Drosophila melanogaster: one gene and its partners. The protein of the gene in region 4 interacts with the protein of the main gene of each other region in a pairwise test. Each region holds a gene or a part of one and is shown on either strand. Other genes may lie near its edges. The genes, in order: Zif, HP5, CG18764 and ranshi.

The links.
Region 1: the proteins of ranshi (region 4) and Zif interact in a two-hybrid assay, tested with the Drosophila melanogaster proteins (one large-scale study listed by BioGRID).
Region 2: the proteins of ranshi (region 4) and HP5 interact in a two-hybrid assay, tested with the Drosophila melanogaster proteins (one large-scale study listed by BioGRID).
Region 3: the proteins of ranshi (region 4) and CG18764 interact in a two-hybrid assay, tested with the Drosophila melanogaster proteins (one large-scale study listed by BioGRID).

Annotation. Positions count from the first base shown.
Region 1 is NT_033777.3:6,455,233-6,463,024, forward strand, and holds Zif (Zinc-finger protein), read left to right. Parts: upstream 1-1,855; 5' UTR 1,856-1,924; exon of another isoform or gene 1,925-1,984; 5' UTR 1,985-2,054; coding exon 2,055-2,198; intron 2,199-2,260; coding exon 2,261-2,877; intron 2,878-2,934; coding exon 2,935-3,069; intron 3,070-3,170; coding exon 3,171-3,441; 3' UTR 3,442-3,590; downstream 3,591-7,792. Other genes in the region: CG9727 (uncharacterized protein), read right to left, coding at 26-789.
Region 2 is NC_004354.4:11,450,923-11,461,315, reverse strand, and holds HP5 (heterochromatin protein 5), read right to left. Parts: upstream 6,531-10,393; 5' UTR 6,240-6,530; coding exon 6,125-6,239; intron 6,035-6,124; coding exon 4,829-6,034; coding exon of another isoform or gene 4,803-4,828; exon of another isoform or gene 4,732-4,802; coding exon of another isoform or gene 4,700-4,731; exon of another isoform or gene 4,662-4,699; coding exon 3,552-4,661; intron 3,087-3,551; coding exon 3,004-3,086; 3' UTR 2,089-3,003; downstream 1-2,088. Other genes in the region: CG43155 (uncharacterized protein), read right to left, coding at 1,192-1,434.
Region 3 is NT_033777.3:11,623,910-11,631,424, reverse strand, and holds CG18764 (uncharacterized protein), read right to left. Parts: upstream 4,537-7,515; 5' UTR 4,432-4,536; coding exon 4,315-4,431; intron 4,260-4,314; coding exon 3,373-4,259; intron 3,300-3,372; coding exon 3,189-3,299; intron 3,131-3,188; coding exon 3,016-3,130; 3' UTR 2,973-3,015; downstream 1-2,972. Other genes in the region: CG14712 (uncharacterized protein), read right to left, coding at 1-1,641, 1,705-2,107, 2,177-2,344, 2,411-2,484; CG6813 (uncharacterized protein), read left to right, coding at 4,839-4,949, 5,010-5,422, 5,482-5,727, 5,800-5,914; CG14711 (uncharacterized protein), read right to left, coding at 6,590-6,707, 6,765-6,875, 6,934-7,068, 7,131-7,515.
Region 4 is NT_033777.3:8,724,596-8,731,922, forward strand, and holds ranshi (ranshi), read right to left. Parts: upstream 5,099-7,327; 5' UTR 5,066-5,098; coding exon 4,946-5,065; intron 4,889-4,945; coding exon 4,329-4,888; intron 4,277-4,328; coding exon 4,031-4,276; intron 3,972-4,030; coding exon 3,857-3,971; 3' UTR 3,772-3,856; downstream 1-3,771. Other genes in the region: nom (numerous disordered muscles), read left to right, coding at 1-81; ouib (ouija board), read left to right, coding at 889-1,008, 1,057-1,529, 1,593-1,938; CG8159 (uncharacterized protein), read left to right, coding at 2,333-2,452, 2,515-3,062, 3,131-3,376, 3,436-3,721; M1BP (motif 1 binding protein), read right to left, coding at 5,341-5,506, 5,772-6,017, 6,075-6,778, 6,847-6,987.

The DNA of each region.
Region 1 (7,792 bases), 2.3 Mb from region 4:
ATAGGATTCTTCAAACAACACTTACTCCAAGCTGGTCTCAATCACCTGCAGCACCCTTCTCATCTTCTCCTCACTGGGAACTGATCCCGCTGAGTTGGAGTTGCTCAAAGCATTCATTACGTTTTCAGCAATGGTGGAGTTTATCACTCCACTGGCCGCTGGAACGCCCTCGTTCGGATGCCGTGGACCAGCTATTGTTGGGGTCGAAGGAGCAGCTGTCGCTGGAGTCGTGGTGACTGGTACTGGCGCCGATGGCACTCCCGCAGTAGCTCCGCCCATAGCGTGCATGATCTTGCCCAGACCCAGTTGCTGGGCTGTGCTAAAGCTGAAGGCATTGGCAAAGGCCAGGCCAGCAGCATTTGCACTCGCCGTGGCAAAGGGATTCGGAGTAAGTACGGAAGTGGAGACACCTCCACTGGCGCTGGTGGCATTGGAAAACGGAGGCGGCACAAAGCCGCTGGGCGTGGCTACAGGTACAGGTACATGGGTGTGACTCGTGGGCGAGATCTGGGCAGAGGCAGGTGCTCCGCCGACAGGGCCCACGGGCGTAATGGTCAAAGGAGAGCCCTTTGCATGGATAGCAGGTCCTTGAAATCTGGTTGCGCTGTAGACTATATCCGCGGGCTGTAGGCTGCAGTTCCCATAGGGATTGGCGTTGGGTTTCTGGAGGGGTAGTGCCACAGGGATCGGTTGAGGTATGGGAATGGAATTGGAGACTGGTGCTGTTGTTGCTGCTGGCGCCGCTGATTTCGTCCACTGCGCACCCAGCTGGCCGTGCTTCTCGGACATGTTAGGTGCTAGTGCTAGCGGCGCCTCCGTTTCCCTCCGCCTGCTGCTGCTCCCTCGTTGTTTTCTGCCTGCTGTGGTTTCTGGCCAAGATTAAGGGCGCTTCCGCTGCCAGGTTACGTAGGTGGCTGCCTGTGTGAGTGCTGGACTGCGTTCTATTGAGTGTGTGTGTGCCTTAGGAGATGGAGATTGCCGAGTCGATAACTGGCGCGACGAACATTTTGACGGCTGCGACGGACGAAGATACGGATGCCAGATATAGTTGCTTTCCCATTTTCCCGTCAGGCGGGAGTGCGCTGGGCGTGGGACGTGAAAGTGCGTGGCGTTCTTTACTGCCAACGAGCATGCGATTTTCCCAGATACGCACCGATTGAACCGAAATAATCCATTTTTTAACGAGAGATAAGAAAATATCTTGCGTTCTGCGTCTCGAAAAATATGTGGCGTTGCCAGACGGCTGCATTAAGAAATGTGCTTTTTTTGCCAGAGCTTTCGGATGTAAACACGGTGTTGTATTTGCGATTTCGCATAAATAAATGAGTAAATTACTAATAATTTGTATATAATTTGCAGATTCACCTTACGCAATGTTAGCTTGTATATGATAAACATGCAACGCTAGTCTTTTAGTGATCTTGCTGTCATCGTTATCGCCACTGGTCAAAAAAATGAGCCATAGAGAACTGGTTCCTAGCTAAATTAAATCTTTGGTGAGATGTATTGTCAGTATTGGACATAATATTTTCTATTGATAAGGCAAATTTAAGCGCATTAGGCCTTTTTTTAAATAATATTTAATGTAAGACGTTGGTATTTTTATGATTGAATTCTTTACTCTATCTAAATATACGTAAATATGAAAGAAATATATAAATATATATATAATTGTTTTCATAATATTTGAATATTTGAAGTATTAATATTTTCTTTCTCATTTTACAAGTTGTTTGTGTTTATAGGCACACTGGGGAATACTTTCAGTTATCATATCATATCGTTTAGCCATGGTTAAAGGAACAAATATTTCCAATGTATTGTCACAAGCAGCAAACATGTTTATCAGATATTTAACCAAAAATCCGCTTCCCGGAACCAGCAAAATGAACCACATCGTGTTCGCCGATGCTATGCAGCCCTGGTAAGGAAAATGGCGATGTCTTTTCGTTTCTTTTTTCAGTCGCTTTACACAACACTTTAGCAACACAAATTTTAACACTACAATACTACGCGAGCGGTTCTTTAAATTAAATTTCGAGCAGGATTCCAGAATGCGCGTCGAGCTTACCCCACAGACGTGCCGGGTCTGCCTGGCGCAGAGTGAGCGACTGCAGCGCCTAGACGAGATCCGCGAGGAAGGCGAGGAATCGCCGAACGAGATGTTGATTCAACTTTTGGGAGTCTCATACAGCAATGTAAGTGAATCGCTAGAGCTGGCAATGCGAACTGACCATTCATCCATCCATCCCTCATGCAGCTGAACGACAGAGAACACATACCCGATGGCATCTGCAAGTCCTGCAAGGTCGAACTCAACATGGCCTACCAGTTTCGCGAGAAGGCGCTGCGCAAGCAGATGGAGATTGAGGAGTACTGCCGGGAACTGGGCTTGCTGGACGAATCAGATGTGATGATGATCAAGGAGGAGGACGGCTCGCAGCAGCAATGCGACGAGGAGATGTACATCCTGGAGGAGACCACCACCGGGGAAGAGGAGCACCAGGAAGAAAAGGGGCACGAGGAGTACTTGGAAGTGGACACCAGCGATCAGCAGGAGTGCATTGGCGACACCATCGAGTACTTGGAGGACAACTACACCATCGAGATGAACTCCGATCAGACCGAGATCGTCCTGGAGTCTGAGAAGCAGTACGAAGAGACACCATCGCAGCAGTTGGCGCTGCAGGAGGCGGCCAAGGCAAGCCTGAAGGCGCGGCGCGGCCGGGTTCGTCGCGGATTAAACTCCCTAACAACATCGGACGGCACTGAGAAGGGTGGCTATATCTGCGACGTCTGCGGAAACTTTTACGAAAAGCGCGGCCGGATGATGGAGCATCGCAGACGCCATGACGGCATCTGCCAATATGCATGCGAGTAAGTCGAGTCGGTAAATTTCATATTAAAGCGATAACCCTAATCCCGCCTTCACAGACTATGCGATGCCAAGTTCCAGGTGCGCGAGCAACTGAGGAAGCACATGTACTCCCACACGGGCAGCAAACCCTATAAGTGCAGCTTCTGCAGTCGTCAATTCTTCTACGAAAGTGTTCTCAAGTCTCATGAAAAGTGAGTAGAAATGTTATTCTCACGGAGAGGCCTCAAAATGGGCCATTTAAATATATTCCTAGTTCGGGACAGAGATAACTAACTTTTCTTTTTCCGATCAGTGTTCACCGTGGCATCAAGCCCTACGTGTGCAAGGTGTGCGACAAAGCGTTTGCCTACGCTCACTCCCTGACCAAGCACGAGCTCATCCACTCGGACATCAAACTGTACCGCTGCGATTATTGCAACAAGGACTTCCGTCTGCTGCATCACATGCGCCAGCACGAGGAGACCAAACTGCACCAGAACGCCGTAATGCTGGCCGAGAGCATGAAGGTGGAAATGGTGGCCGAGCAGGGGGGCGGGAACGAGATCCGAATTCAAGCTCACTGACGCAATCAAATTCAGTAGAGTATACTGTCTTATTTCCAGATATAATCCCTTATAATCAGTAATACTAGCTTAAACGCTAACGGATAGCGTATTCATAGTTGTAAGAATGAACTTCATACGTAAATAAAGGTTATTTTTGTTAAAAATAGAATATCAAACGTATGTGATGTTTTAGCAGCATGTGGAATTTGGTTCATAAAATTAATTTATTTGATAATTTGAATACATACAATACAATACAATACAATTTGAAATGTAACACGCCCGAGAAAATCTGGCAATCTAGTTGTACGCTAGTTGGTAAAAGTCACAACTGGCCGTAGTTATTTCCACAATCAATGTTCGCAATGTGTGTGCGCGGGAAGCTATGCTGAAAATTATGCAATAAATATGGGTGGCTTCATGACGCCGTGGGTATATAAAATGAAATTGGAAAAAACCCAATTTGCACCTAGCGCATGCAAAGCACCAACAAATGTACAATATCAAAGGAAGTTCCGAAATTACATGACTTGAATGCGTTTTTTTTTTTCATTGGCCGCTTGTCTCCTTTTTTGAACTCCCCCGTGTATCATATCATCATTTTAGCGGAAACAAAAAATGTTCTTATGGACTGGTAAAGCCTTTCGGCCCCTGGGGCTTTGTATTTGATTACGGGTGGTGATACACTGCAAGCAAAGCTGGGTACAATAATTCAAAATAGGTAACCAAGGCGCTAGTCATATTATTTATTCCAAAATTTGGTTTAGAAAAGGAGTTTAAAACTTATTTTCTGTGATATTTATAATCATGACAAATTTCTAAAATTCAAAATGGTATCCAATATTTTTCCTTTTGAAGCTGCTATGATATTTTTCCTAGTGGCGAGATTGCGGAATGTGGAAGCTTGGGAAAACCAATTCTAACAAATTTGCACGCGATTTGACATGTCGAATCCATAAAAGCGCTTCAAACGATTGGATTATGGGTGTGAACGTCGAGCCACAGCCGCAGCCATCCAAACTCAATTGCCAAATTGAGATTCGGCCCTTTTAAACTGATTACGAGCCAGTCCAGGCTATCAATTGCAAATTTATTTCCCCCGCACCAGCCAAAAAAAAAAAAAACCCTTTTCAGGAGCTCACCTCCGTCCTTGACCTGGCCCTGACTTTGCATTTGTGGAAATCGAGTGGGAAAGTCGGGACTTGACTCATCACGCAAGTCCCGCCACCTTTTTTGTGGCAAACAAATCAGCAAGTTTACGAGCTGAATTGCAAATTCCGCGTTGGAAAATCCCAACGACTTCTTGCTTACGAAGCAGGTGAAAAGTCGAAGAACTTTGTGCGTTAAGCTAAGGCTTAAGTAAAAGCAAAAGTATTAACAAATAATTTAAGAAACTGCCTGACCGGTTGACAAACTATTGTAAGCATTTCAAAAGCATACTTTGCCAAAGAGTTATGCCTGATTCCAAAAAAATCACAGAGATAAGATAACAATTCATAAGAAGTACAAAATGACAGTATGTTTTTAAATTGTATAATTTGGTTTTCCAGTTTTTGTGTCAATGCCAAGTGGCTAAGGAGGAAGTTGGGATTTCGTCTCGGAGCGACTCGTCCCTTTTCCACAGTCACTTTCGCCCGCTCCCATCGAAAATTCTGCATAATTCATGTATTTTATTTAAAGAAGATGCAAAACCAAGAACACCCAATTCCAGCCCCATTCAGCCCACTCGTTCAAAACTGGGGCAGTGCTTGTCAAATGGCAGCTGTAAACTAAATGCTTTATATTCATTTATTCCGGAGCATAAACAATGTGAACATCCTCGACAAACCGGAAGACTTGATGAGCTCCCTGTGCCTGTATATGTGCATAGTATGTATGTACATATGTATGGACATTCTCGTATGCGGTGCAGCACTGAGTGTGTGTGTAAGTTAGCATAATGTCGTGATGCCATGGTTAATGCATGTGCAACAGGATGCTCTTCCATTTGCGGTTGCCTCATCCGAGGAAATTAGTTGCTCATAGTCGAAGCATCCGCCAAAGAACGAGGATGGAGGTGAGAAGGCGACATCGTTTTATTCCATTGGTAAATTACACAATGAAATATATTCGATTTGAAGATTAGCTGTAATTACCCAGAAGTTCCATTTAATCGCTACGAAAAAAACATCGTAAAATCATCGGCCACGCCAGCAGAGCGGCTGCACAGCCGACGCTCTTCCGAATCTCTCGAGCGCGATCTCTCTTCTAAAAACAAACGGAACATGCAAAGACAAAAAATGTACAGTTTGTCAAGAAACTGTTTACACACTGGGAAATAAGTTGAATTTTTGACTTTAAAGGTACAAATTAAGAGTTCTTTGATTAATAAAACGCAATTTCTTTATTAAATATAATTAAACAATATTTATTTTACTTATAAATAAAAAAAAAAAATTTTAAATAAAGAAAATAAACAACAAATTCCAAGTTTACACACTTTTGAGACTGTCAAGAAACCCTTTACACAAAACACTAAACCTAAGTTTAATCCTACATTTTTAAATTATTCTATTACAATTTTAAAAGTTTTAGTATGCAGTATGGTGGATATATATTGGCTTTCGCTGCAAGTTGAAGCCATTTTTATCCGATTAAAAAGAGGTAAAAAAGCGAAGAATAGAGCGATGGCATACACGTTAAAGTGCGCTTAAAAATCGGTGATTAAAAGCGATAATTTTCGCTCTTTTAGCGGTGTTTATGTGATTTTTTTCATATCTATGATTGCCTAGGTCATGTCAATGTCAAAATCATCGATTGTTGTCATACAAATTAAGTGGGGATTAGCGCTCGAAGTTTTTGTTTAGCGGTGATTCACCAGTGAATGCAGGGTTATTTAAGGCAAATAGTTTTCACAAGTATGTCCATATAACTTTTAATAAATGTTCTATATTTCCTATATCTTATCATATGACGGGTTTCTTTAAAATTATAACACTTAATGCCTAACAACAACGAAGGGCCATTTTTATATACTTTTCGAAAATCCTGTTGCAGAAATATATTGGTCCTATCCAATCTATACTACTTTTGGGAAAGTATCAACAAGTTTACTCTGAAACGGACAAGGCTATATCGACTTTGCTGTTGATCAAGAATATACATATATACTCTATATGGTAGCAAACAGTCGAATAGAAATATGAAGAATGAATATAGAAGCAATAGATAGTACATACATGTACATATGTATGTATATACTTTTCTTGGACCAAATGCCTTACATTACTGACTGCAAACTTCTGACTGGAATCAGAATACCCTCGGCAAGGGTATTAAAACTCCCGTCCTGGTGCTTAAAAAAGACTCAAATAATAAATAAATATATATATATAATGTATATACAAATAATAGTATTAAATGGAGTTAGATGCTCATTTTCTGTGTTGTGGATTTTTGAGAAAATAAATACATTTTTAATTGAACTTTTCACAATTCGCTGATCAAAAAATCGAAATGCAATTTAAATTGCTTCAACTTCTAATCGCACCCCTGACAAATACTAGGCTTTGAAAAGAGAAACCCATTTAAATGCCGAGAAATCCCCTTTAATGTAGCGCAACATACACGCTTGACAGCCACGCAAAAACAAGGGCAGCAATCAACGGTGGCGGGGGGAGGAGCTGGAGGAAAGGGGTCGGGATGGCAGGAAGGATGCTCCATAAACCAGGCACGCCACCGCCAATCAATAAAGCCCGAAACAACTGACGCTCTGAAGCATCAAATATTTGTAGGTCTCGGCCAAAGTTAAGATGTGGAAAATCCCCACGAAAAAAGCCGTCGAACCATTAAAAGTAAACGCTGTGGAAAACGAACGATGTTTCCTTCAAACATGGCCCGACATTGGATGAGATTTGGCCGTAATAAACGCAAACAAATGAAATAATTTCGACTGCAAACAAAAGGGCATAAATTTATATATACATATGTACATATTTACGTTTATGGCTGTATACATTATACTCGCTTTCGGCCCAAGAACTCTAGCTTCCCAAATATCTATACGTTCGCGTATCTATGTGAAATTTATTAGCGAGAAGGGCGGGGCACATAGTCATGGGGCGTGGAACTGTGGCCCAGTAGACCTTGTCCAGTCCGCTTAGCCAAATTACGCATACGCACAGTTGTGCCGCTTGCGGGAGGCGCAATAATTCATGACACACGACAATCGGCGCACGACTCACGGATACGGATTCGGATGCGGACCCGGTCCCGTTCCCGGTCCCGATGAAGACATCGGCCACGTAAATTGGTTTAAGCTGCCGGCAACCGACAGCCCACCCAATCTCCATGCCTCCAGCATACCAGCCATCCAGTGGCACACCGACTT
Region 2 (10,393 bases), on a different chromosome or scaffold from region 4:
CGCCAGCTCAAGTCAAAGGATGATTATTTAAGCTAATCAAACCATCTTTTAATACATTCAACAGAAATCTACTAATCTGCTTAGGAAAAACACTGATTATCGGTATAAATAGCCTGCTTTAGATGCTCCTTAATGATGGCTACCTCCATCGTACTATATATCCTATACATATCAGACATTCTCGATAAGCTTCGACATTCATTCGTTTGGCTCATTTAGCCCGTCACCCACACCATCGTATCCATTTCGCAGTGGCCAATTGTTGTAGTCCGCGGAAATTGAGAGGCAATATAACAAATACCCACCCGGCACGACACTTGGCCATATGTCAAGTCGTGGGACACAGCAATTAGGACTCCTGGCTGCTTCAGCTCCAACCTTTGCCTTGGATTAACTGCAGCCAGTTGTAGTTTGCAGTCGTGGACAACTGACGGCATCAGTTCCAAATACACATATGTACATATATATACAAGTATATATGTATCTAGAACTTGGCCAAGAGCTGAAACCACGACGTCATTGGCGAAAATGTAAATGTTTAGACAAGGCCAAAAAGGCCTGGACGTGGTCCACATGATGCACTGCCTCCTGCTCCGCCAGCCAGACAGATTTGGGCGTCTGGATATGTGGCGATATATGTGTGCAGTGGCAATTAGGGGAGGCGGGGCACTTAAATGTACAAAATAGTTTTATGACTTAATTTTGGTCTAATTTTTACTATTTCCCACTGCAATAAATTTGCGCTCTGTTTGGGTTATTGTTTTTAATCGCATTGGTACAGTGCACGATCGTTGGATTCATAATTTTTTATATATGCAACATTTATTTGAAGGAAGGATATAGTGACTTAAATTTGTTGGCTTAAAAATGCATTAGAGGGATATTAAATATTTTCTTTTTAGGCCAAGTTAAATCCCCTGCTCGATTGGCCACTGTATTTATGTGTGTTTTGCATTTCTTTCTTGCTCCAAACAATTTGAACGCTAGCCATTTTTCGGCTTTTCGCCCAACAACACAAATCATTTTGCATGTTCGCGGCAGCCGCAAAAGGCGAGCCAAAGGTAGGGGGGGATGGAAAAACAAAAATAAATAAATAAAAACATATTGAAAATAATTAAATATTTGCCTAGTTATGTTCGGGTCTGCTGGGCACCGAACTGGGCACACACGTTGCCCCCCACCATCGCTTACCAATCCGCCCACGCCGCAGTAAATGGACAGGGAGACGAGCAGTCCGATGTGATTGAGCGCCGACTTCCACTTCATCGACTGCCAGCAGGCGGTGCTCCTTCGTCCGCCGGCGGTTCCCTTGGCCAAGCCACCACCCTCGGCGGCATCCACACGACGGTCGAGATGCTTGAGCTTCTCCAGCAGCTCGGTGCTGGCCTCATCCTGCGAATCGTACTCCTTCACCGTCACCTTCTTCATGGGCATTCTGCACTCCGTTTCTGATTGTTTTGGCCGGCCTATGCCTAAATTACTTGTGCTATCATTTAATAGTGTGTTTTTTTCTTTCTTTTGTTTATATCTATTTAATTTCTTTCTTTATTTTCTTTTTGGTTTTCAGGGGCCCGGCCCGCTTTGGTCCTGTGAGTTCAACATTTCGGGGGCACGTCTCACGCAAAGGGGCAACTTTTGAAATAGTTCGCACTCGCGCCAAACGATCTGGAATTTTGACGCGGCCCCAGAATCCCGAGGAGAACCAACCGTCAACAAGTCAAAGTTGCGACTGTTTTGCTTTTGGCGCTGCATTGGATACGCGGGGCTCTGCATGAAAGGTGGCCACCTTTGGGGGCAAGCGTGTGGCAACATGTGGCAACGTTGGCCGCGAAACTGAACGAACGTAAAATCGTTGCATAAATTCGAAATAATACTTATTATAATAAGAATATATAAGAACGGAAACGCTGAGCGATGGTTGCTTGTGTATAGAAACATTTTATTATATTAATTATATAATAGAACATTAATAAAAACGAGCTTAAGTTATCCTGTGATTGATAAATATATCAGAAAGTTAAGTGTGTGTTGTTCATAAAGCAAGATAACATCTTTCCATTTATCTATTCAAATTAGTCACAAAAAAATCTCTTTCTAGCACATTAAATTTATTCAATCTGTATAAATTAACTGTAGAATATTCTGTGAAAAAAAAAACATGTTAGGTAATAAAAATAACATCATTTTTACATAGCTTAAAATAAACGGTACAAGACTTTTCACAATATGGCAACGTCAATGTTCGAATGTGGCAACATCTTCAAATGGCGGCAAATTTCGAAAAAGTTTCTCAGCCAATCCCATTGAAAACTGGCAACATATTTTATCCATTTTTAATCTGTTTTCTTTTTACATACATACATTTTATGATGATGATGTACATTAATACATTGAACTTACAGTACATTTAAGACGATCCATACTTAAATATATATATTTATATTTATATATGTGCATGAACGCAAGTGTTTCTTAAATCTAAGTTGTCAAAAAAAAAAAGGATGAGAAACGAACAATACGTATTCTTGAAAGTCAAACTAACGTAACGCTCTGTTTAAGTAGCTTAAACATTGAAAATTGATTTTCTGATTCCGCTTAACCGTTAATAATATTAAAATATTAATTTTTACGGTCTATCGCACACATTTGCAAGTTGAGTGAGTGAGCTGTGTTAAATTTTGTCCCTGTTTTGCTGACTAATTTAGCAATCATATAAGTGCAAAATATTAACGTTTGCACCAATAGCTTTCTCTTGCAAAAATACTTTGGTATTTTCAACGTGAGTTTGCATATAAATTGAATATGTCTTTAAAAATAAACGTAAGACTACTTCTTGATCGTAGGGAGAACTAATTATAAATTCAGTTAAATGTACAAATTAATCGGTCCTTAATAAACCTACGTGTGTGCGTGTGAGTTTGTAGCTATGTCTGTGTCTGTGTGTATGCTTCGGTTTCGATCTGTATCTGTCTATCTGTACTTGGTGCGCAATTTGCCAGCTTACTACGATTCTAACGCGGTCATTATTTCGTCCAGTGTACCCCTCGAGATGGCATGGCGGCTGGAGTTCAACTGAAAGTTGGGTTCTAAAAGGCATAAGCAGAGCAAATAGTTATTAGAAGGTGCATTCAAATTAACATTTACGAAAGTATGAAATATAAGCAAGTTCAAATTGCAACTGGAAATTGTGCATTGCCTATACACTTACACTTAATTAAGATACCCAGACTTAGAGAAGACCAGAGAAAGTACAAAAAATGCCTATTAAGTAGTTGTTTTAATGACAAATGTACGCAACGGGCGAATGTTCATTAAATCAATCAATGGAATGCTTGACCAATGACCAAGTGTCACTAGAGCTTTAACGTAAGAGTTTTTGGCCTCACAAAATAGAGAAGTTTCGTGAAAAGCGAGACTACTTGGCAAGAATTAAAGTAGAAAATGACGTACTTTACTGTCTTGAAGACTTAACAGTCCCCACTTGTACTCCCTAAGTATTCATGCTATTATTTGAGATTGCCTTGCGATGGAGGCGATCGTCTGGCACTCACCGGATAGCTGGTCCATGATGACGTCATCTAGCGTGGCCATGGGATCCTCCATGGGCGAGTAGTATGTCGTTGCCGTTGATCTGGATTCGCTGGTGGGTTCACCATTCACTGTCCTGGGCGCCGAGGGCGGGGTCATAAGCTCGGCCGGCAGTTCGGGTGAATCGATGGGATCACCGATGATGGTTGCTGCTGTTTGTTGATCCTCGTCATCGTTCGGCGCTTTGCTTGCTTTCTGCTCTGTTTCCTCAATGGCTTGTCCAGCTAGCAGCTTGGCGTTATCGCTGGCGGACTTAAAGCTGCAATCGGAGTCACCGGAATCGAGGCGACTGCGCGATTTGGGCGTACTCTGGCGGGATGATGGCGTATGCAATTGACGGACATCGTCCAACGACGTCTGGATCTCCAGCACGTCATCTTCGTTATCGTCAGTTGTGGACGGGAGCTGTGGTGGGGTCGGCAAGTCACTGAACTCCTCGGCATGCTCGACCTCGTCCTCTACTTTCTCAACCCTGTCTTCGTTCGTTGGTTTTTCTAAAGATTTGACGGCGTTATCGCTGATTTCAGCTGCATTTTCCTCCAGATTTTTCTCGTCCTCGTCTAGCAAAACTTCTTCTCGAGCATCTTCCGATTTTTCCTCCGAATTGTCAGCCTCTTTTAACTCTGGCATATCTTTTACTACTTTTTTTTCCTTCGCCTCATCTGTATTTTTCTCTGTTGCATCCACAAATTGTTCTTCTCTATCTCTTTCTACTTCATTTGTCTCAGTTTCGTGTGCGTCTCCCTCTCGCTCATTCGTTTCGATTTCCTTCACTGGTGGTTTGATTTCGACATCAGGATCGGAGGATTCAATTTCCACAACTGGTGAGTTTTCCGTTTTTTTCTCCTTTTTCGTTTGCATTTTGTCAGTCGTCTCCTTTTCGTTTAGCATCTTGTCCGTCTTTTTGTTTGATCTTTCTTTTAGGGGTTTTGGCTGCTTTTTTTGTGCATCCTTCTGCTTTTTTAGTACCGGCTTTTCGTCCTCATCATCACTGATGGTCGTGGTGAAGGATATCTTCTTTTTCTTGGGCGGAGGCGTTCCAGATCTCTGGGACCCCGGCACATCGTTGGGCACTGGACGTAAAAATGGAGAGAATTGCATTAGTTTTAGCTCAATTCTTCTTTAATTTGATTTGGTCAAATCCTGTCATAAAAATAACGAAATCATTTAATACAAAATGAGACATGATTAATGCGATTACATCGAGTTTGATGTCAGTTTAATAAGTGCATCCTCCTACCTATATACTCCTCATCGTCATCATCATTATCTCCACCTCCATCAGACCTGGAGGAGCTGTTGTCTATGCTTAGGCGGCCCAACCTGCGTAACTTGAGCCTTCCGACCACAGGCGTACCGTTGCATGAGCGGCGCCTAACCCGCTCGCGCGAGCCTCCAGAAGATGACGAGAAGAGCGGCGTGGAGGTCAGTGCTATGTCCTCCAGCACATTGCCAGTGGCATCCACACGCTGCAGTCGTGTCGGTTTCGGAGCTCCTCTCGATGAAAGCGAACCGAAAGTAGACCGACGTGATGGACCCCCGGGGCTGCCCAGAATCTCGACGGCCTCGCTGAAGGATACCGCCTTCTTGGGATACACCTTCCTGACAACTCCGTCGCCAATGGGAGGCGGTTTGCAGTCAGGCCACTTGGCACTTGGTAAACGCGTCCTCCTCACCTTCACCACACAGCCAAAGAAATGCGCGCCATAACGCTTAACCAAATCCGGATCGGTGTTGCGTCCGCGACTGGATAATCTCTTCGCCTTGATCTTGGGCTTGGGACTTCGCTTCAGTGCGGAGTGTGTGCTTTCAGAACTCTTGGCCAAACTGGGCGGCGGTGTATGAGCGCGCAACGAGTGGTTCAGAGCACGCTTTTTGGCGCCATTCTGCAAAGGAACTTTGATGTGGAAATTGGTCTGCGCTGTTGATGACTTTTGTTTCTTAGGTGACGTTTTTCTCTTTTTGTGCCTGCTACGGCCACTAGTACCGCTCTGGTTAACGATCTCGGGCACATTGATAAATGATGAATTGGCCAAAGATTCGACGGCCGAATCGATTTCTGTCTGTTTCAGGCGACGTAATAGCACCCGCACCTTTCTTTTAACATTCGGCGACTGCTGATCGCTGAACATCTTTTGCTGAGCCTTCGTCTTGGTGGGAACGACCACCATCGATTGCTGGTCCTCCTCGATGGCCTCGCCGTCGTCGTCAATGGACACTTTTGGCCTCTTGTTGTGCGGCGTCGATGCAGAGACAGTGGATTTCCTGCTTTTGTTTGGTTTTGAGTTAGCCACGCTCTTACGCTTCCTCTTGGCCAATGACTCGTCGAGATGGTCGAATGATGTTTCCGAATCAAACAGATCAATGCTGCACTGTTCGACATTCTTTGATTTTCTCGACATGCGCAAGTCATTCTCGTCCAATTGGTTTCCACTCTCCAGGAGGTCTGACAGAAAATGGAAAAAACGATTGGAGGTTATTAAACTTCTAGGATTGCCAGCCAATTTGCAGGCAAACAAAATTATGCTCAATTTACCATTTACGTCGATTGGCGAATCGGGCGGTATGGGCGACGGAGTGGAGAGCTTGGTGTCCACCGGATTAATAGTTTGCGGCGGCGGCGCCGCTTTGACCATATCAAAAATATCCATTATCGCAGGTTTCAGCCCTTTGCGATTTTCCCACGAAAATGAAAATTAGCAAAGAGCGCAGATTTACCGCTTTAAAATATACGGTTAATATGCGCTTACAGATGTGTGTTTTGCGCAATTAGTGAGGCCACTGTACCACGGACTAATTGTGGCGCGAGGAGCACTCGATTTGCCCACTTAATCAGCAGATGCGACTTTTAAAATCGCGTTTGCATTCAGGTAACTTTCCTGATTAATTTTACACACTCCTAAAGACGCCATCTAGCTGGTGTGCCCGTGCGCAGATACCGCGAAAATATTTCACCGCCTCGGCGCATTTTTATGGGTTATTTATGTCGCCAACAATCATTAACCACAAAATGTATTTTAAATTTATCAACAAATAGCCTATTTCCTATCATTAAACGACAAAGATCTTATGGACACTTTTCATCAATGGAATGCTGAACAACAACTTATTACTCTGAGCAACATAACTCCATTAAGATTCATACTTATCTCATATGGTTGAATGTTTCAAAATCATTTACAAACATGTAATAACAGCACTTGCAGCCCACTGTACAGGTTTGAGTCTGTGCTAAACAGCTATCATTGGTATTTTTGGTATTATTCAAATAATCGATAATGCAGTAGAAACTTTTCTATCGGTTATCAGCTATCTGCGCTTCAGAGAATTTTAGTATATGGTAATACTTATTTAGCGGCTTACTTCAGCTTTTGCGCGACGGTCACACCGCCAGTGGGCGAAAAAAAACATTCGTGAATTCACCGTCGTCGAACGAACGCTGTATTTTTTTCCAGTGCAATATTCGGTCGATGTATAACGAGTGATTGAATTAAAGTAGTCCTTTTAAAAAAAGTACTAGTATTTAAATAAAAATAAAGTCATACAGAACAGCATAGGGAGAGAGGGCGAGAGAAAAAATTGCTGCTGCTGAGGTGTGTGCAATTGCCTGTGCGTGTGTGTGTGTGTGTGTTTGTGTGACGTTTACAGCAGCAAAAAGTTCGGTAGTGTCGTCAAAATAATCGTGTATTATAAAGTTAATGCAAACGATTCTCGATCGGATACGAGTTGATCGCGACATATTGAGTTCGTCGAATGTGGAAAAGTCTAGCTGATTGAAAACGAAACGCGGATAAAAAAAAAACGATAAACAACGGCAATTTGTTGCTGCCGCAACAGCAACAACAACAGCAGCAGCGCACTAACGCAACCACCACCACCCCCTGTTCCAGCCTAACGGTTCATTTACAGTGGCCGAAGAAGCAGCAGCAAAGGTGAGGTTCCAGCATCTTTATTTATATTTTATGTGTCGTTCTTCTTCATCATCTTTACTTCTTCCGTAAAAAAACTCAATGTGTGTGTGTAAACATTATCAACGAAAAAAGTGGAGTGGGAAAAAATACAGAAACTTTCTTTCGCTGTCTGTGTGGGTTTATGCTCGCGTGTGTGTGTCTGTTGCTACCTTTTTTTTTTTACAAATTAGCGAAGCAGCAAAAGAAAATCGGGTACAACTAATTTTGTATGCTTAAATTTCGCGCATTAATGTAATTAAAAGCGTCCATTGTCCATTGTTCATCGCTCATTGTCCATCATCATTCATCATCGTTCATCATCGTTCTTTGCAGCTTCGCTGAGCAACAACAACAACAATGACAACAGGGCAGCCCTGCTCTTACTTCCTTTTCCATTTCCATTCCTATTGCCATTCCCATTGCTCATTTCCCATTGCCCGCTTCCCTTTCCCAATTCCTCTTTCCCAATTCGCTTTGCTCTTCCACTCCCACCGCATCAGCTGCTCCTGCCACTAGTTGTTGTTGTTGTTCCTGCTCTGTTGTAACCTTGTCTTGCTCTCCTTTCCTTTGCTTTCCACCCACTTTTCGTGGGCCCAACGCACAGTGGGAAAATTCAGCAATCGAGGGAGGGAAAAACTATTTGCCAGTTATAAAATGGAAATGGAAATCGAAGAATAATGACTCTACGTCCACTCTTCTGTAAACCATTAATTACGACCAATGGCTTAGTAATATTTAAAAATAACATCTAATCTTGTTCTCCAATTTTCACTGTGCATCTCTCCATCTCGCTCTAGCCCGCTCTGCGCCTGCGCATTGCCAACTCGGCGACACCTTGCAAGCAGCGTTGCCACCTTGCACATGGCCTACGTAGACGCAACGAACAGTGGGGGTGAAAAAACTAGCATTAAAAATAGTAAATTGCTAGCTTATTAAGCTTCATTGTTGTTTGTTTAATATGAATACAGTTAATTTAACGCTTTCATTGCATTAAAAACAAACTGGCTGCAGCGAATTTCGTCGAAACTAGCTAAAAGATTGCTGAACTCTTGTTTATCTGCCGGTCGTGATAAGCTTTGTATCCGTATGTAGATTACATATACGTGCAACTGAGGGCTTTCTGCTAAATTATATCGAGATCTTAAAGATGCCCAAAGGCAGACAAGTGCTCAGTTACTTTATACTTTACTTTGCTTTGGAAATGCAGCCATAGTCCTTTGACCTCTGCTGTACCCGACCCATCGCACTCAAGTCTTTTGTTTTTGTTTTTTTTTTTTTGTGCGTGGGGATTGTTGCGTGCTTATTCAAATTTCAGTTGTGCTATTTATTTAAATCACGAGCATTAAAACTAGTGGAGCACATAGAGCAGAAAGTCATCGTCATGTTAATTATGATCATAAATTTGCAGAGCTCGTGGGTGTGTTGGTGTATCATCCGTCATTATCTGGAGAAGGTTGGGGCAGGATAGCCTTCATTCTGCCTTCTCTGGCCAACAAAAAAAAAACATATACATATATAAAAAAAAGATAAATAACAAAAGTCAAGATACTTTTTTTGGGTTATTTCAAACGGAATTCTTTTTGCGTTTAGCGGGTTTTTCAACTATCTGCTCAAGTGTTTTCGCCATGTTTCATTATTTGCATTGTTTTATGATATTTTGGCGGTTGTTTGTTGCTGCTTATTATGTTGCCCATTTCGATCGCGCGAGCTTTCGACCTTCGCCGCAAAGCCGCAAAAAATATATGTCAAAAATAATTTGCACTTGAGTCTGTTTCCCTATCGGCGTTTATTTTGTATTTATGTATGTATACATATTTTTTAACGGATCATACCAAGCGCTTGCCAACACGTTTTCGCGCAACCAAACTAAACGCAAATTAAGTAAGCCAACTGTGAAATTACAGTGATCACTGTGCAAAAAAAGACTCCGAAATAAATGCGATTTTGTTAACATTTTAAGTGCATTTTAAATTATAAAATATATATGTAATTACTTGTTTAAGCGAATACTAACTATTGGAGTCAAGTTCATGATCGAGCTGCCACCTTTCTTTGTGGGGCTCAACGAAAAGTATCTATGTAGCGTGGCTTTACTTTATTGGCATTTCGTTACTTCCTCTGAAATTTGTTTTCGAAAAAAGTTTGACAACCTCATGCCGTCTCTTGCGATTGCGCAGCTACCTTTTGTTAGCCGTCCCTTTCTGGCGAGGCAAAAAGTGCCGTTATGTAAAATCAGAGGCAATAGCTTCCACAACATAAAACCGATATGTATGTATGTTTCGCCAAGAAATATCGAAAATAACAACAATGGGGCTGGGGCATCCAGCATCCACACAGTCGTGGCCAAGCTATTATGGCCACTTGGCCAACTGGAGGCTTACCTGATTTACCTGCCCCAAAGCATAGAAAAGCAGGTAACAACAGAAGCGGTAGTGGCGATACCGATATGTGTGCCAATCTCCAATGCAGACGTGCTGGTATTTCGGGGCACAGTGAATGCCCGATAACTGCGAAATAATTACGATACTTTATTTTTTGTAACAGCTGAACCAGAAATATTGTTTATTGTAATAATTTGTGTACTTTTCGTATTTACAATGATATTCTTCCCTTTGCTTCTGTTAGCCAATAGCCACTGTGAGTTTGGCCAAATTCCAGATTTCAAGCAATGATTTTACAGTTTGGCCAACAATGTCGGTTTGTTTGTTGTTTTCTTCAGCCAGCCAGTTTTCTTTCCTGATTTTTTTGTTTTTGTTTGCCGCTCCCTATATTTTTTTCACTCAGTCATTCAACAGCAATTGCAGACACATATCGTTTTTGCTATTTATTATTGCTGGAAACTGAAGGAGTTTCGT
Region 3 (7,515 bases), 2.9 Mb from region 4:
ACCTCCAAAACTGAATACAGCAGGCTTGGCGGCAGCTGCATCGCTGCCATTTGTTGTCGGAGTTCCTGAACTTAAATTGTTCGATTTACCAAAGGAGAACATCGGTTTCACCCCCGTGTCTGCTGCTCCAAATGATGGCATCGGCTGGCCGAAATTTAGCGATACAGTTGTAGTCGGAGCAACTGTAGTCGTCGTTTTGGGTGGTGTCACTCCGAAAGTAGTTGTTGATGTAACCTGTGTCCCAGGATTAGTTGTGCTAACCGAAGTTGTTGCTGGAGCTTCAGTTTTGAATCCAGAAAGGCCGCCTACTGTGGGACCATTGGCAGGCGTTTGTCCGAACGAGAATATGGGCTTTGATGTGGTAGTATTGGTGATATTAGCAATAGTGCTACTAGTGGTATTGGTCGCACTTCCAAACGAGAATGATGGTGCTGCTGTGGATTTTGGTGTGCCAAAACTGATTAGTGGTTGAGATGATGTTGCTGGAGTAACGGGTTTGGTTGATAGCTCAAACTTGGGTGGGATATCTGCTTGTGCTGCCGGGACCTTGTCGATGGGTTTTGGTGGTGTTTGTTCCGTTTTAGCGGGCGGCGCAGGCTGACCAAGCACAAGTTTGGGCACTGAGCCAGTGCTATTCGTATTTGGCACATCTGCTGGCTTTATAACCTGGTTACTTAGTATTATCGGCTTGCTGGGCGCAGAAGTTGATATGGTTGCGGTGGACGTAACGGTCGTAGTGGATGTGGTTACAGGAGCTATGATGATGGGTTTGACGGGAGTAGGAAGCGTCACAGGCGCTGGCGCTGACTTCGGCGCTGGGGCATCTAGTTCGTCCGGCTCACCCAGGTACAGTTCGCCCTTCAATCCACTTAGCATAATGGCTAGTTTGGTCTTGTGTGTGCGTTCTACGCTAGGGTTCTTGGCAGCCAGCATGGAATTCTGCTGTTTAGGCTTCACGAACTGAATGCCTGCATATTCGCCGGCATCTACTTCCGGGCTACTCAAATCGGGTCGCGGCTGTTCCGCTATCGTTTGAGATTGTCGCGCATTGAAGAGTGTAAGCTTAGGTTTTTCCGTCACCTGCGGAACTGCCTTTTGAATGGCAGGAGCCGAAATGGCTCGTGAAGCAGGAACTGCCGCCACAGTCACGACGGGCATGCTCATTGCCTTGCTAACAGCTTCTGCATCAACTTTACGTTGAATTTTGGCAACATTTTCGGGCGAGTTCTCAGGCGAGCTTCCTCCACTAGCTAGTGTGTCGTTTTTGCTGTGCTGAAACCTTTCTCGCATGTCCAACAGCTTCCTCTTGTTGCTGTGACGGCAACTGGAACTCAGCGAGGAAGTGATGTCGTTGCTGTAGCTACAATTGGGACGTTTGGCTACCTGCTCCGGAGATTGTGTTGGGGAGATGGTTCCATTCGAGTTCATATGTTGCAATGCAGGAGAAGCAGCCGACAAAGATGTCGAATGATGCCTGAGCGGAACCGATACCGTCAGCTCTCGTTGCCTTTTAAAGGACTGATTCTGTTGTTGCTGCAAATTACGTAGTTTCTGTTGCTGACGGTGATGAGCCACAAAGTCCACAAAGTCCACGTTTTGCTGGCAACTCCTTTTCGTGTAGTCTTGAGCCTGTTGCGTATCCTGAAAGCAAGCCAAGTGTAAGCCGGTGATCTTCTCATAGGATGATTGATGGCTTATACTTACTTCAGTGTTGATGCGCTTTCGGGAGATCTCCTTAAGCTCCTCCAACACGCTTCTAGTTGGCTCGCTCTCATGCTGTGGATGAGGTGGGTGCAATATGGGTCGATTCTCTCTCGAAAGCTGCTCCTGTTCGGTGGTCTTTGGCACTAACCCTACCAAGGAGTTGGATCGCAACAGGCTTGACAGCGTGTTTCCGGAATAAAAGCTGCGCTCCGGTGGTGCAATCTGCGTGATCGAAAGCGTCGGCGCCCTTGACTTGTAGGGCAACGGGGAAGCGGGCGCTCTGCGCGGCTGCGTCAAGGGATTGTAAAGATTGCTGGCGGACATGCTGCGTTGCAGACCACTGCGTTCGCTTAAGGCCACGATCCGGGATGACAGTCCGCTGCTATGCACATCGGCAAAGGTTCTGAAAGGTATGAAAATTTGATATTGCACTTTCGTCACATCGTGAAATGGCACACAAGCTTTGACTTACCTGGGATCAACCTGACTGAGGTTCAGTTTCTGTCGCGTTATGGTACTGGACGATGTGGCAGAGCGATTCATCAAGGACCGCTCCGGAGTGCGTGTGCCATTGAGCGAGGTATTCGACCCCTTGGGACTCAGTCCCCTCAGGAAATTACTGGCCGCCGGACGATTGTTTCTGAACAAAGGAGAGCAAATTTGATTAGTAACCGCTTAGAATCCAGTTGGACAGGTGGTGTCTTACAACAGCGACGCGTCAATCCGCGTGGAATCCGCCATGGGTGACATGCTGCTCATGTTAAAGCGACGACGCTCCATGCTGCCGAAGGTCAACAACCGGTATTCTCACAGTGCAGTCGGGCGGAGGGGAACACTTTTGGCGGGTGAATCAAGCTTCGTCGTAAACGATTGTGTGCAATCTCGTTTCTTTCTTTTTTTAGTTTTATTAATTCTAAAGAGAAATGCAATGTGAATTTCATAGGAAATGGTTACTGTGTGACCGTTGGTGAAGCGCCAAAATATACCAAAATCTTTAAGCCTTTGGCTAAATAAACGATTAAAGATAAAAAATAATGTTTAATACTTTCTCCGTCAAATGTATTTGGAAGTTTCGGGCAGACGTGTAAACTTGAATAAAAATTCTTATTTTCACTCCAAATTTATATTGAAATATGTCAGGATTGCCACCTTGGATACTTATTGGCAGGGCTGCACTGCAGCATGTGTCGATTATTAAATCGGGTTAATAAAATTTTATCGCAATTTAAATGTTTGCACTCCAATTAAATGAAAACATTGCTTTATTTCTTATATCTAATACTTGTTTTTTAATTTAAATACTATATCAGCTTATAATTGTAGTACCTCCGCACCAATGGTTTTCGCTTTTGCAGTGTGAAATTTAGATCGCAGATGGGCCTTTAAGTGAGTGTTGCGCTGGAAGGATTGTTTGCAGATGGTGCAGCTGCAAAGGGAATTGTATTAAATTTTGGAATACCAACGCCTAGTCAAAAAATACTCACGCAAAGGCTCGCACTCCTGTATGGATTAGTTCGTGCCGCTTGCGTCCCGAAGCTGACTTAAAACATTTATCGCAATGATGACAGCTGTAGGGTTTGGCATTGGTGTGAGTCCTAGAAAGGATTTTTTTTGGTTTGAGCTCAGAAATGTCCGAATCCGTAGTGGATACAAGGATACGTCCCTTACCTTTCGTGGATGAGGCGAGTGTTGCTATTGTGAAAGGACTTGGTGCAAAAGCGGCAGTCGTATGGCTTCTCGCCCTGGTGAATGATTCGTTGGTGCAGCGTCATGAGATGGTCGGTGTAGAACCGCTTGCCACACTGCTGGCAGGCGAAGTTCTTATTGCCCGTGTGCCGCAGCATGTGAAGCTTGAAATTGCTTTGGTCGGTGAATTGCCGGCCGCACTGTTCGCAAACACACTCGCGTTTACGCTGCAGTCGCTTACGCTCTATGATCTGCTCCTCGGTCATATTTTTCCACGTAACGTACTGTTTTTTCCGCTTGGGTTTTGTGGTCGCTGGCTTCGTTGACCGACCTGCTGCACTCTTCGATTCGGGCAGCGGTGTGTTTGGGTTCGATGATACTTCATATTCGTTTATAGTTTCATTGAAATAGGAACCGTTTTGGGGCTCCATGTAATCGTTGTTATCCGAGTTGCTGTCGTCGTTGCAAATGCTCTCAAGTTCTTTCTGTACACTTGAGATCAGAGATTCGACATCTTGAGAATCCTCTTCGGCTACTTCAGCCATATCTTGAAGCGCATCAACATCTTCAACAGAATCAATATAATTATCCTCATCCAGATCATGATGAGCATCACTATCATGATCCAAAACTTCTTCTGGGGATTCCACAATGTATTCATCGACTTCCCCGAATGGATCGTTCAGACAATCCGGCGGTGATGCCATCTCCTCAACATCTTCAGCCGGTTCCTTCGCTTCGGGAGATCTACGACGATGGACGAGCTGCTTCTGCGTTAGGATGCACCGCTCCCGGAACAAAATCGCTTGGTTCAAGTCAAGCGTGCAGCAGGCGCATATGCTGCTGGGCAGCTCTGGATCGTTGTGGAGCTGCAATCACAGAAAATGCTGCACAAATCAAATGGAAACCATTTTTCTTACATACTGTTGTGCCAGTGACAAGATTTATGTCTTGCAGCATCTTCTCGTTCTCAATATGAAAGAGATTCTTGGGCATTTTATTGTAGATGATGCTGCCGCAGGTCCGGCACTGGAGCGCCATAATGTTAGTTGAAAATCAACCGAAGTTTAGCCCAACTTCAGTTTAATTCGAATATAAACAACCAATTGTTTTGTAAACGCATCCACTACACATATGTATGTATATATATTGTGATGCAACAGCTGGTTTTATTATCGACAAAATCGATAAGTGCGGCAATGCCATTGTGTGACTTAAATGATTTAAAAAGTGCAGTAAACCATTATGGTACTCTTATTAAATGAGATTATAAAACATATTTGTATTTATGTTACTTCATAAGGTACTAATCCCTGTGCAAAAACTCTAAACAGCGTTTATGCGTGCAAAAGTTAGAGTGACCATGCAAATAGCTTAACGACACATTTCGCATAAGCTGCTCGAAACGTAAACAGTAAACAATTATTCAAAAACAAATCAAAGTCGAGATGCGAATTCTGAATTGCCGCATTTGCTCTAGATCAGATGCCCCAATAGACCTTTTTGGTCCAGGAAACGGTCATCTAGTTCGTCAAATTCACTCCATTACTGGGGTGGAGGTAATATGTCTAAAAATATTCCTTAATCATGGCACTTAATTTGCTATTTATACTTTCCAGCTAAGCTGCAAGAAAGAAATATCCGGCCAAATGTGCACGACTTGCCTGGACAATCTGCAGGCAGCCATTAAGTTCCGCCAGCGCTGCATCATTGCCGAGAAACAGAATCTGGAAAGGATTGAGTGCGACAGCAAGGATTGCTCCACAGATCCAATAATATACGAAGACATCGATGATAACCAAATTGAGAGTGAGTTGGACGAGTCCATTCTATGTCCTGAAGTCAAAGATCTTCCAATGCCAAGTGCTGAAAAGGTCTCAGCACCGACTAGTTTGAACCATCAAAAGTCAATTGGAGGAGGTACTGGTCCATATGTATGCCCTGATTGCGGAAGGATCATTAACAATAAGTCAAACTTTCAAGAGCACACGCTCCGGCACACAGGCATCAAGAATTTCCACTGTGTTTTTTTGTAAATTATCCTTAACCTCCTTTGGGCTAGTGCACCTAAGATACGATTTTTCTCCTCAGGAATTGTGAAAGGAGCTTTGCAACTCGAAAGGAACTGACTAGCCATACGCGTATCCACACGGGCGAGCAGCCATACGTGTGCGTCTACTGTCCACGTCGGTTCTCCTCTTCAGGCGCTCGCCAGGAGCACCATCGCCGCCATCGGAACGAACGCCGCTACGAGTGCGACACGTGCAAAAAGAGTTTTGTAAGCTCCGGATGTCTCAGGAAGCACAAGATGATCCATGTGGATGCGCGGAATCACTAGTGGGCATTTCGATTTCTGCCAACTCTGCACATTATTTGTATTACACGTTTCAACACACTTTGATTTTACAGCTGCTACGTATGTCAGAAGCACTTCAAACGAATCTCCCATTTGATGACCCACCTGTCCAGCAATATTCATAAACGCAAAGAAGAGAAACTCACGGAGCTAGCCATTGAACAATGAAGCTGCCTATCTAGCCATTACACTAATTAGCTATCGGTAAGAATTCTAAAATTCCGCGTCCTTTTCTTTAACAAGGTAGACGTACATTTAAGTACAGGTATTCGCATAAATCCATTTTATGCGAATATCTAGCATATTTGGTTTTACTTTTTGTTTCCCTAAGGAATAGAAGAAGAGCCGCATCCCTCCCGACTTCCAAACGTTTTTAGATTTTGATGTAAAACGTTACAAGTTATAAACCTAAAAAAACAAAACATATTTACTTGTCCAAAAAAAGAAGATTTAATTAATCCTGTGCCATTCGATTATTATTCCATGTTGTAGCTTCCACAAACGGTAACAAAGTCTTCGACAGAGCACAAAGAAAAGAAACAATAAAAAACGCACACTCATTTAATGGCCAAAATGATGTTAAAACTACCAAATAAACGCACAAAATCAAAGATTGTAATCGTGTTCCAATTTTTTTCTCGAATATATGGACGTAATAAAAAACATTACAAAAAATATTTGTGTTTTTGAACAAGTTCTTTAACCAAATAGTAATAAATCAAATCCGATTATTTTACACATCCGGTCTGACCATTTGTACTCTTTTTTATTTTACAATTTTTATATATAATTAAATGTACATTAATGAATTATCTAACAGAAATTGTATTGCATTGTTTTCGACTAATAGCGCCCCGTCCGTTCGTTTTTGTGGTGTATTACAGTCTGTTGGTGGGTCATGGTGCCCAAATGCTGATCCAACTGGTGCTTGCGGGAAAAGGTCTTATTGCAGACTCGACAGCTGAAAAATTAAAGGGAATTTAGGGTTATACATGATTAAAGCAGTCAATGGACCTACAGAAAAGGCTTCTCGCCCGTGTGGGTGAGCATATGGTTTTTTAGCACGTTAGAGTAGGAGAATGCCTTGCCGCATGTGGAGCAAGTGAAAGGTCGCTCGTTTGTGTGTGTTCTGCAAAAGGAACAAGTATAGTTTATATGAAGATTACTATGAGGAATTGCATCTTCACCTTTCATGACGAATATTGGAGCTGCGATCCGCAAACGAGCGGTTGCAATATTTACACAAGAATGGTTTCTCGCCCGTGTGAACGCGGATATGGCGATTTAGCTCGGATGGACCCGCGAAGGATTTGCTGCATATTCTGTAAGCGGAATAAGATTTACATAATATAAAATGGTTCAGATGATAATTTCAGATACTCACTCGCATTTAAATGGTTTCTCGGCCATATGACGACGCATATGAATGTTGAGAGCGGCTCGCTTGGAGTAGATATTGCCGCAGATTTCGCACATAATGTTCGTGGAGGATACTTCGGGAGATGATTTGAAGCTAGCTTGAACAGGCGGACGCTCCTCGCTAAAACTGCGTGGGTGTCCGGAGCTAGCACCGCGAGGTCGGCCACGTCCACGTTTAGTCATCCGCGTTTTACGCACCTTAGCTTTGCGGCAGCGCTCGATGGGCTGGTAGTCGCTATCGGTGCTATTCGGCACCAGCAAGTCATCCTCGTCCAGGTCGTCCACTACAGTGCTAGTCTCGTAGGCCTGCGACGTTTCCCCGACACCATCCTCCAGGGGCTCCTCCATGA
Region 4 (7,327 bases):
TCCCAAGGCACTCCACTGACCACTTCCATTGACGAGGATCTGGTGCAGTCGCAATTCGACCTTTTGTGTCAGGAAGTTTAATACATCTCAAGATGCCATATGTTTTATCAATATACCAAAAAAAAAAAAAAAATTTAGGTAAGAGCTAACCCACAAAGACTTAATAACAGCTGAAACCACAAAAGACAATATCAAATATGGGTCTAAAAATATTGGTGACATTTTTGTAATTCCTTAAAACTCAGCAACAAAGAGACAACTTGGGAACAAATTTAGCTTTTTTTAGCACGTAGTTTTTAAAAAACACTTTACAGTGGCCATGTTATTGCAAATTTTAGTTTTTGCTATTTTTTTTTGCGTAATTTACATCTGCATTGCAATTGCTTCCTTGAATATAACAAAAGTGCCTATATAGTCTTATCTTATACATACATACTTTATTGGGCTAGTTTTAAAATAAAATATATTCAGACATGAGGTACAAAAATGAACATTGAATTTAGAATCAAATCTTTTTCGAAATACATTTTACGAAACATTTTACGTGGATTATTTCGATTTACCGAAACAGAAATATGAAGCTATATGTTTTGTTTTCAAAAATTGATCCTGCGCATTATTAGCATGCAGGTCGTACTTATTTCAAGCACCCATGAAATGGTTCAGCTTAACGATTTGACCAATATTATTTACACCTATTATTAAGTTTTAATATTATAAGCAGTATCTGTTTTATCAGACTGCTCCAGTTGTTAACAGATCAATAGCTATTTAAATAAAGATTTTGACTTTCAAAAATCCCCGCCTTGAATGAATAATTTATCTGGTTTGCCTCAAAATGTAATCACCATACAATTGCCTTTCCATCAGTCGAGTTTAGTGATCGAGATGCTGAACATCGTGTGTAGAGTCTGCGGAAGGCAGAAAATCTGTGAGAAGAGCCTGAATCTCTTCGATTTGGTCAACCGAAAATATCTAAAGCACTTGCACATGATAAGCGGACTAAGAGTGAGTTAAAAGACGTTTTAAAATTGAGATAAATAATATCAGCACCAGTTGGTGGATTTGGACGATGTTCCTGGTTTCATGTGCCTTTGCTGTCAGGCGGAACTCAGATCGGCATTGGCATTCCGGAAGCTTTGCATTAAGACCCAAACTAAATGGCTAACCATCGAGGACGACTCTTCGTCGGGTGATGAAGATACCAATGACAATTCGGAACTGGAATCGGAAAAATGCGCATTCAGCGATTTTGGGAAAAAGAAAGAAGGCGAGTTGGTTGAAGAAACTTTTCAGGTACTGATTGAAGAGGAGCCCATGGACAAAACTCTGAATAGAGATGCGAAAGCGCAGCTGAGGGAAGATGGAATAGATGAGAAGTGTGTACCTTCACAAAAGATTATCAAAGTATCAACCAAACTGGATGATCAGATTTACATATGCGAGCTGTGCGGGACTCATGCCACATCGAAACCCACTTTCCAGCGCCACATGAGAAAACACAGAGGCGAACGACCATTTGGCTGCAAGTAAACCTCGCTCACAGATTACAACTGTAGGTTCGGTATGCTGATTCCATATTCTCTTTTTAGGGATTGTGATGCCAGGTTTCTCTCTGCTGGCGAACTACGTGCCCACCACCGGGTACATACTGGGGAGCAACCGTTTGCCTGTCGCTTCTGCGAAAAGCGGTATGTCAGCTACATGGGCCGGCTGATCCACGAGCGGACTCACACCAACGATCGACCCTATGTGTGCGAAGAGTGTGGCAAGAAGTTCACCACTGCCTACGTCCTAAAGAACCACATGGTCATCCACACGGGCGAGAGGAATTTCCGATGCGATATTTGCGATCGCTCCTTCCAGAGAAAGGCGCACCTGGTAACGCACACCAGATCCATGATGCACCTCCAAAATGTCAAGAAGCAGAAGTCATGAAGGATTAAATAGCTCAAGCTATGAAATAATAAGATTTACATGCTCCTTGAGATAAAAAGATACCCAAAAGGGGACTATCTTATTTTTATCTTATCGTATTTTTATGAATTTAAGTTGTATACTCAATATTTGCACCACACCTGTTTCTCAAAATGAAATAAATGCTAATGCTTTTAAGTGTGTAGGACACAGAAAACAAAAAATTTGTATAGATTGTTTGATTTTAATTAGTAGCAGCCGTTACGATTTAGTGGTTTTATAAGTCGCCAGTGCTGGACAACGTCTCAGGTGGAAAAGCTAGTGCGCTGCTTCGTGGCAAATGGCAAATCAGTTTTGGGTGGCTGTCTTGTTTACAATTGGAAATTTACTAATTAGAATCGAGTAAGCTGGTAAAATGCTGCAAAATGTGTGCCGCGTGTGTGCCAGCAGCACGGACAACTCGAAATCGTTGAAACTATTTAACAGCGGCGCCTGCAAAGTGCTGCAACAAATCAATTTGCTCACCGGTGTTCTGGTAAGCCTACCCTACGAAACACATTAATTCCTTCAATTAAAATGTTGTATCTTATTTGGCAGCTGCAATGCGAACCCGGTTTACCCGACTGGATGTGCGAGACCTGCCAGACGGATTTGAAAAGCGCCATATCCTTTCGTGATCGCTGCTTGAGGAGTCAGAAGATCTTTGAAGAGTCGCTGGTCAGGAATGAAGAGGACACATTCCGCTCCTCAGTTCGTCGCAGTGCCCGTTCCCAAAGACAGCGGCATGAAGACACCGCTCCAAAGACGCCAGCAAGTCCGCTGGAGGTAATGATTAAGCTGGAGAGCCTGAGCAATGGCGATGAGGAGGATGATGGCATCGATCACCTGGACTCCTGCAACGAAGCAGACATGGAGCTGGCCATTAAAGCGATGTCCAGCTCTACCGAAGATGATGGAACTACCTCACCGGTCAGATTGAAAAGAACCCGACGTCGGGGACTTAAGAAAGGCGGGAAAGGTGAAAATCGCACAAAGGTTACGCTTCCAGTTTTCTTTTGCGATCAGTGCGGCAACAATATTACAGGGAAGTCCTCCTTCGACCGTCACCTACGCAAACACAGCGGAATTAGGCCCTTTCAGTGCGAGTAAGAAAAGCTTTAGCTCGTCAATTGTACAATCTGATAGTTAACTGTGTAACATTGCTCTCATGTAGACTCTGCCCCGCCCGCTTCCTGTCCTCCGGTGAGCTGAAAGGACACCAAGTGATGCACACTGGAGATCGCAAGTTCCAGTGTCGTTACTGTGACCGCACCTACGTCAACTACAGTGGTCGCCTGCGTCACGAGCGGACCCACACAAATGATCGACCCTTTATTTGTGCGCAGTGCGGCAAGAGCTTTACCAATTCCTACATCCTCAAGAACCACATGCTTATCCACACGGGCGAGCGCCTGTTCAGGCTAGTAAACTATGATAAATAGTGCTTAAGTTAATGATCACCTAGCCGATCCTTTGCAGATGTGAGCTGTGCCATCGATCCTTTGCGCGACCCACCCACTTGAAGACTCACTTCCGCTCTAACACTCATAAGCACAACTTGGAGAAATCGATGGCAGACGCGGGTGGAGTTCAGCTGTCACCATCCCAGTCAGCGGATCAGGTCAAATTCGTGACGGAAAAGGAGCCAGAAGCAGAGGCGGATGCCTTTACGATAGAAGTGCCTTTGCCCGCGGAGCAGGAGCAGGATGAGTCTTTGGGCCTGGCTGCTCTGGAAACATCCACTCTAATGTATAGTACAAACTAGACCTTAATGAGTCCATCTCAACCTTTAAAGCCAAATATAGTTCACAATTTGATTATCCGTTTTGATTTTTTTTGTAAAAATTCCTATTTTGGTAATGCAACCGTTTTCAACTAAGAGCTTCTTAAGTGATACCTTTTAGGGTTTATCAAAGATTGTGTCTGCTTTCTGCATGTTTCGTCTGTGAGCATTTGAACGATAATGGGTAGTAAGGTGTGTGTAGCGACTGAATAACTTATCGCAGAGGTCGCACCTGCAAATAGAATAGATTATTATTATTACACTTAAGTACTATTTCGAGTACCCGCTTACCTAAAAGCCTTCTCCCCGGTATGCACGAGCATGTGGTTCTTAAGAATATAGGATGTTGTGAAGGCATTGTTACACTCCTTGCAGACAAAAGGTCGTTCGTTAGTGTGAGTCCGCTCGTGCTTCAACCGAGTGCTGTAGTCAGAAAAGCTGCGGGAACAGTGTCTGCACTTGAAGGGCTTTTCCCCGGTATGCTTGCGAATGTGACGCTTAAGTTCCGCCGGCGTGCAGAAGCGATCCTCACAGAATCTTAAATGAAGCGGATTAGTTAGGATCAATCTTAAGTAGAATTGCCACTTACTCGCACCCAAACTCCTTGACGCCGCGATGTCGCTTACAATGCAGTATGAATGATATTCGATCTTTTATGTGATTTCCGCACTCCTCACAAAAGAAGGTCCTATTGGAGTCGCGGGGATTTCGACGATTTCTCCTTTTTTTGGGATTCTCAGAGTCTGATTTGAGTTCCTGCTTTGCATCTACTTCAGTATCGCTTTCGTAAATAAGGTAATCCATTTCACTATAATCAATATCGTCCTCATTATTGGGCTCGTCTTCGTTGATTTTAGATTCATTTAGAATGTCCTCCACTTTAAAACCGGAGCTTTGAATGGGCCCTTCATTGAGATCGTCTAATCGCTCGACTTCTATGCTTATTTCTGCCAGATCCAGTTCCAACTCCTCCTGCTCAAGGACACTTTTGGGAGATTCCTGGCAGATTCTAAGGAAGTCTTCATCATCTTGGGAATGGAGCAACTCCCTTTGGACTTCCAAACAGCGTTCCCTAAAGGATATGGCTTGTTGCAAACAAGTTTGGCAGGACGCACATAGTCGATTTGGCAACGTACTACAGTTCTTTAACTGTAAAGAGAAAAAACTTTAGAAAGTTAAAGACACTACGCATTATTATCCTCTCACCACAGCTCCAGTTAGTAGTTTGATGTGTTCCAGCGTAGTTTGATTGCGCTTTTCAAAAATATTCAATGATCTTTCAGCATTCGTGCGCTTGCCGCAAGTGCGACACACTTTTCCTTCCATTTTTGAGCCGATAAAAAAGTTTGAAACGCCAAACTTTTTGTAAACAATGCTATGCTTGTCAATCAGCTGTTCCGTTTGCCATTCGCATGGAAGCAATTTTTACAGATGAAATAAATGCTCATAAGTTGGGATTTGAAGTTTTGATTTATTATTCAATATTAAGTTCTACATATTACAATTGGTTTGTTAATTATTTGCAGAAATGCTCCTTGGCTGTGCGCCATTGTCGGTCTAGCATTGCCTGTAATTGCTATGTATATATTATAAGGACAGCTTTAGATGTGCAGGCTGTCCTCCTCCTCCTCCTTGAGTTCACGTTTCTGCTCCTGCTCCAGGACCTGTTTCATCTCGGCTTTCTCCAGATGCCGCTTGTGTACGCCAGACCGGAAGTGGGTGCTCAGGTGGGTGGGCAGCATAAAGGACTTGTCGCACAGCTCGCACCTTGAGGGGAAGATTCAGTATTAGATGGCATTTCAAACATTTCAGTAACTGTACCAGTATCACTAGTTTCATATTATTATAAGAAATTATTATAAGATAACTAAATATTACTCACGAAATTTGGCAACATAAGTAATATTTAGTTATCTTAACTCTCATAAGGTTTTGGAAAACTCTTGTAATGCCGCATAATATGATCTTAGAATTTCTAAGAAACCTAGTTATTGGGTTTCCCGGTACTGTGTAGCTGTATGACTCAACGTACCTGTAGGCCCGCTCGCCGGAATGTATCAGCATATGGTTCTTAAGGATGTAGCCGGTAGTGAAGGCCTTGCCGCAAGTACCACAGACGTAGGGGCGCTCATTGGTGTGGGTACGCTCATGCTTCACGCGCGTGGTGTAGTCTGTGAAGCAGCGGCCACAGTACTTACATGCAAACGGTCGCTCTCCGGTGTGCTTGCGCATGTGGCGTTTCAGCTCGGAAGTTGTGCAGAAGCGCGACTGACAGAGTCTGAAAATAAATCCATTTAGTCATACTGTATCCAAAAAGGAGTAGAAATGTACTCACTCGCAGCCAAATTGCTTGTCCCCACGATGGCGACGACAGTGAAGTTCAAAGGCCATGCGTCCCTTGATGTGATTGCCGCACTGCTCGCAGATGTATACTCCGCCGGTGCCACGACGACGCGCATCATCCGACCGGACCTTTGGCTTTGGCGGCAGACTACACTTCTTGACGACAATGTTTTCATGCTCGTACTCATCATCCAGCACGTTGTCAAGAACGGCCACCTCATCATCCGAATCGTAGACGTACGCGTCGTTGACGTCGCCCACAATTAGCTCGGTGTCTTCGTCCAGCTCCAACGTTTGCTGCTGCTCTTCGTCTTCGGCCATTATGGAATCATAGTCGGCCTCTTCAATCAAGGAGGCTGCGTCGTCCTCGCCGGCGTGTCCCTCGGCCACCTCGTAGTAGGTATTATCGTACTCTACCTTGGTGTCGTCGATCTCTTCCTTAGGTTCTTCCAATACGATTTCCTGATAAGTGGCATAGACCTCATCATCGTCGGGCGTCTTCACCGTCTGGACAATATCCTCGCCCATGACAGCCGCCCGGTAGAAGGCCGAGATGCCTTGGCGTTGCTCCTCGGTCAATCCCAAGAGTAGCTCACGCTGGGCGGCGATGCAGCGCTCCCTCAGCTTAACGGCGGAGGCCAGTTCCATGCTGCAGCATTCACATATCTGATCCGGCAGGCAACCGTAGTTCTCCAGCTAGATTAAACACCAATAAATTAAGCTATAACTACATAAATTCCATAAAGCCGCAGTGAAAAATTTACCCGAAGGCCTGTGAGCGCCTCAATGTTGTCGATCATCTTTGTGTTGCTCCGCTCGAATAACTTCGGCGACCGCTTGTTGCTTGCATACTTTGCGCATACGCGGCAGGTGCTCTTTAGGTGTTTCAGCGCCGATTTCGACATTTTTCATTCGCAATCCGAAATGAAATCGTTTTTAAGATATTTGTGAACACAAAAAATAAACGCGTCGCTTGTCAACTGCATTTGCCATTCACCCGGTGTTTCGTGTTAATATTTGCCATTCGCCCCGAAATAAACATATTTTCAGTGGCGTAGGCAAAGGGGTTCATATGATGCCAAAATATATATATATCCTCGAAAATGAATTACTTTGTTAACGTTAGTATTATATATTGCTTTGATATTTAACGGATTTGCATATTTATTATACTCCAATAATATCACATATAAATTTGAATTAATTTGTTTTATAATTTTAAATTTATAAAATTATAAATAAAAT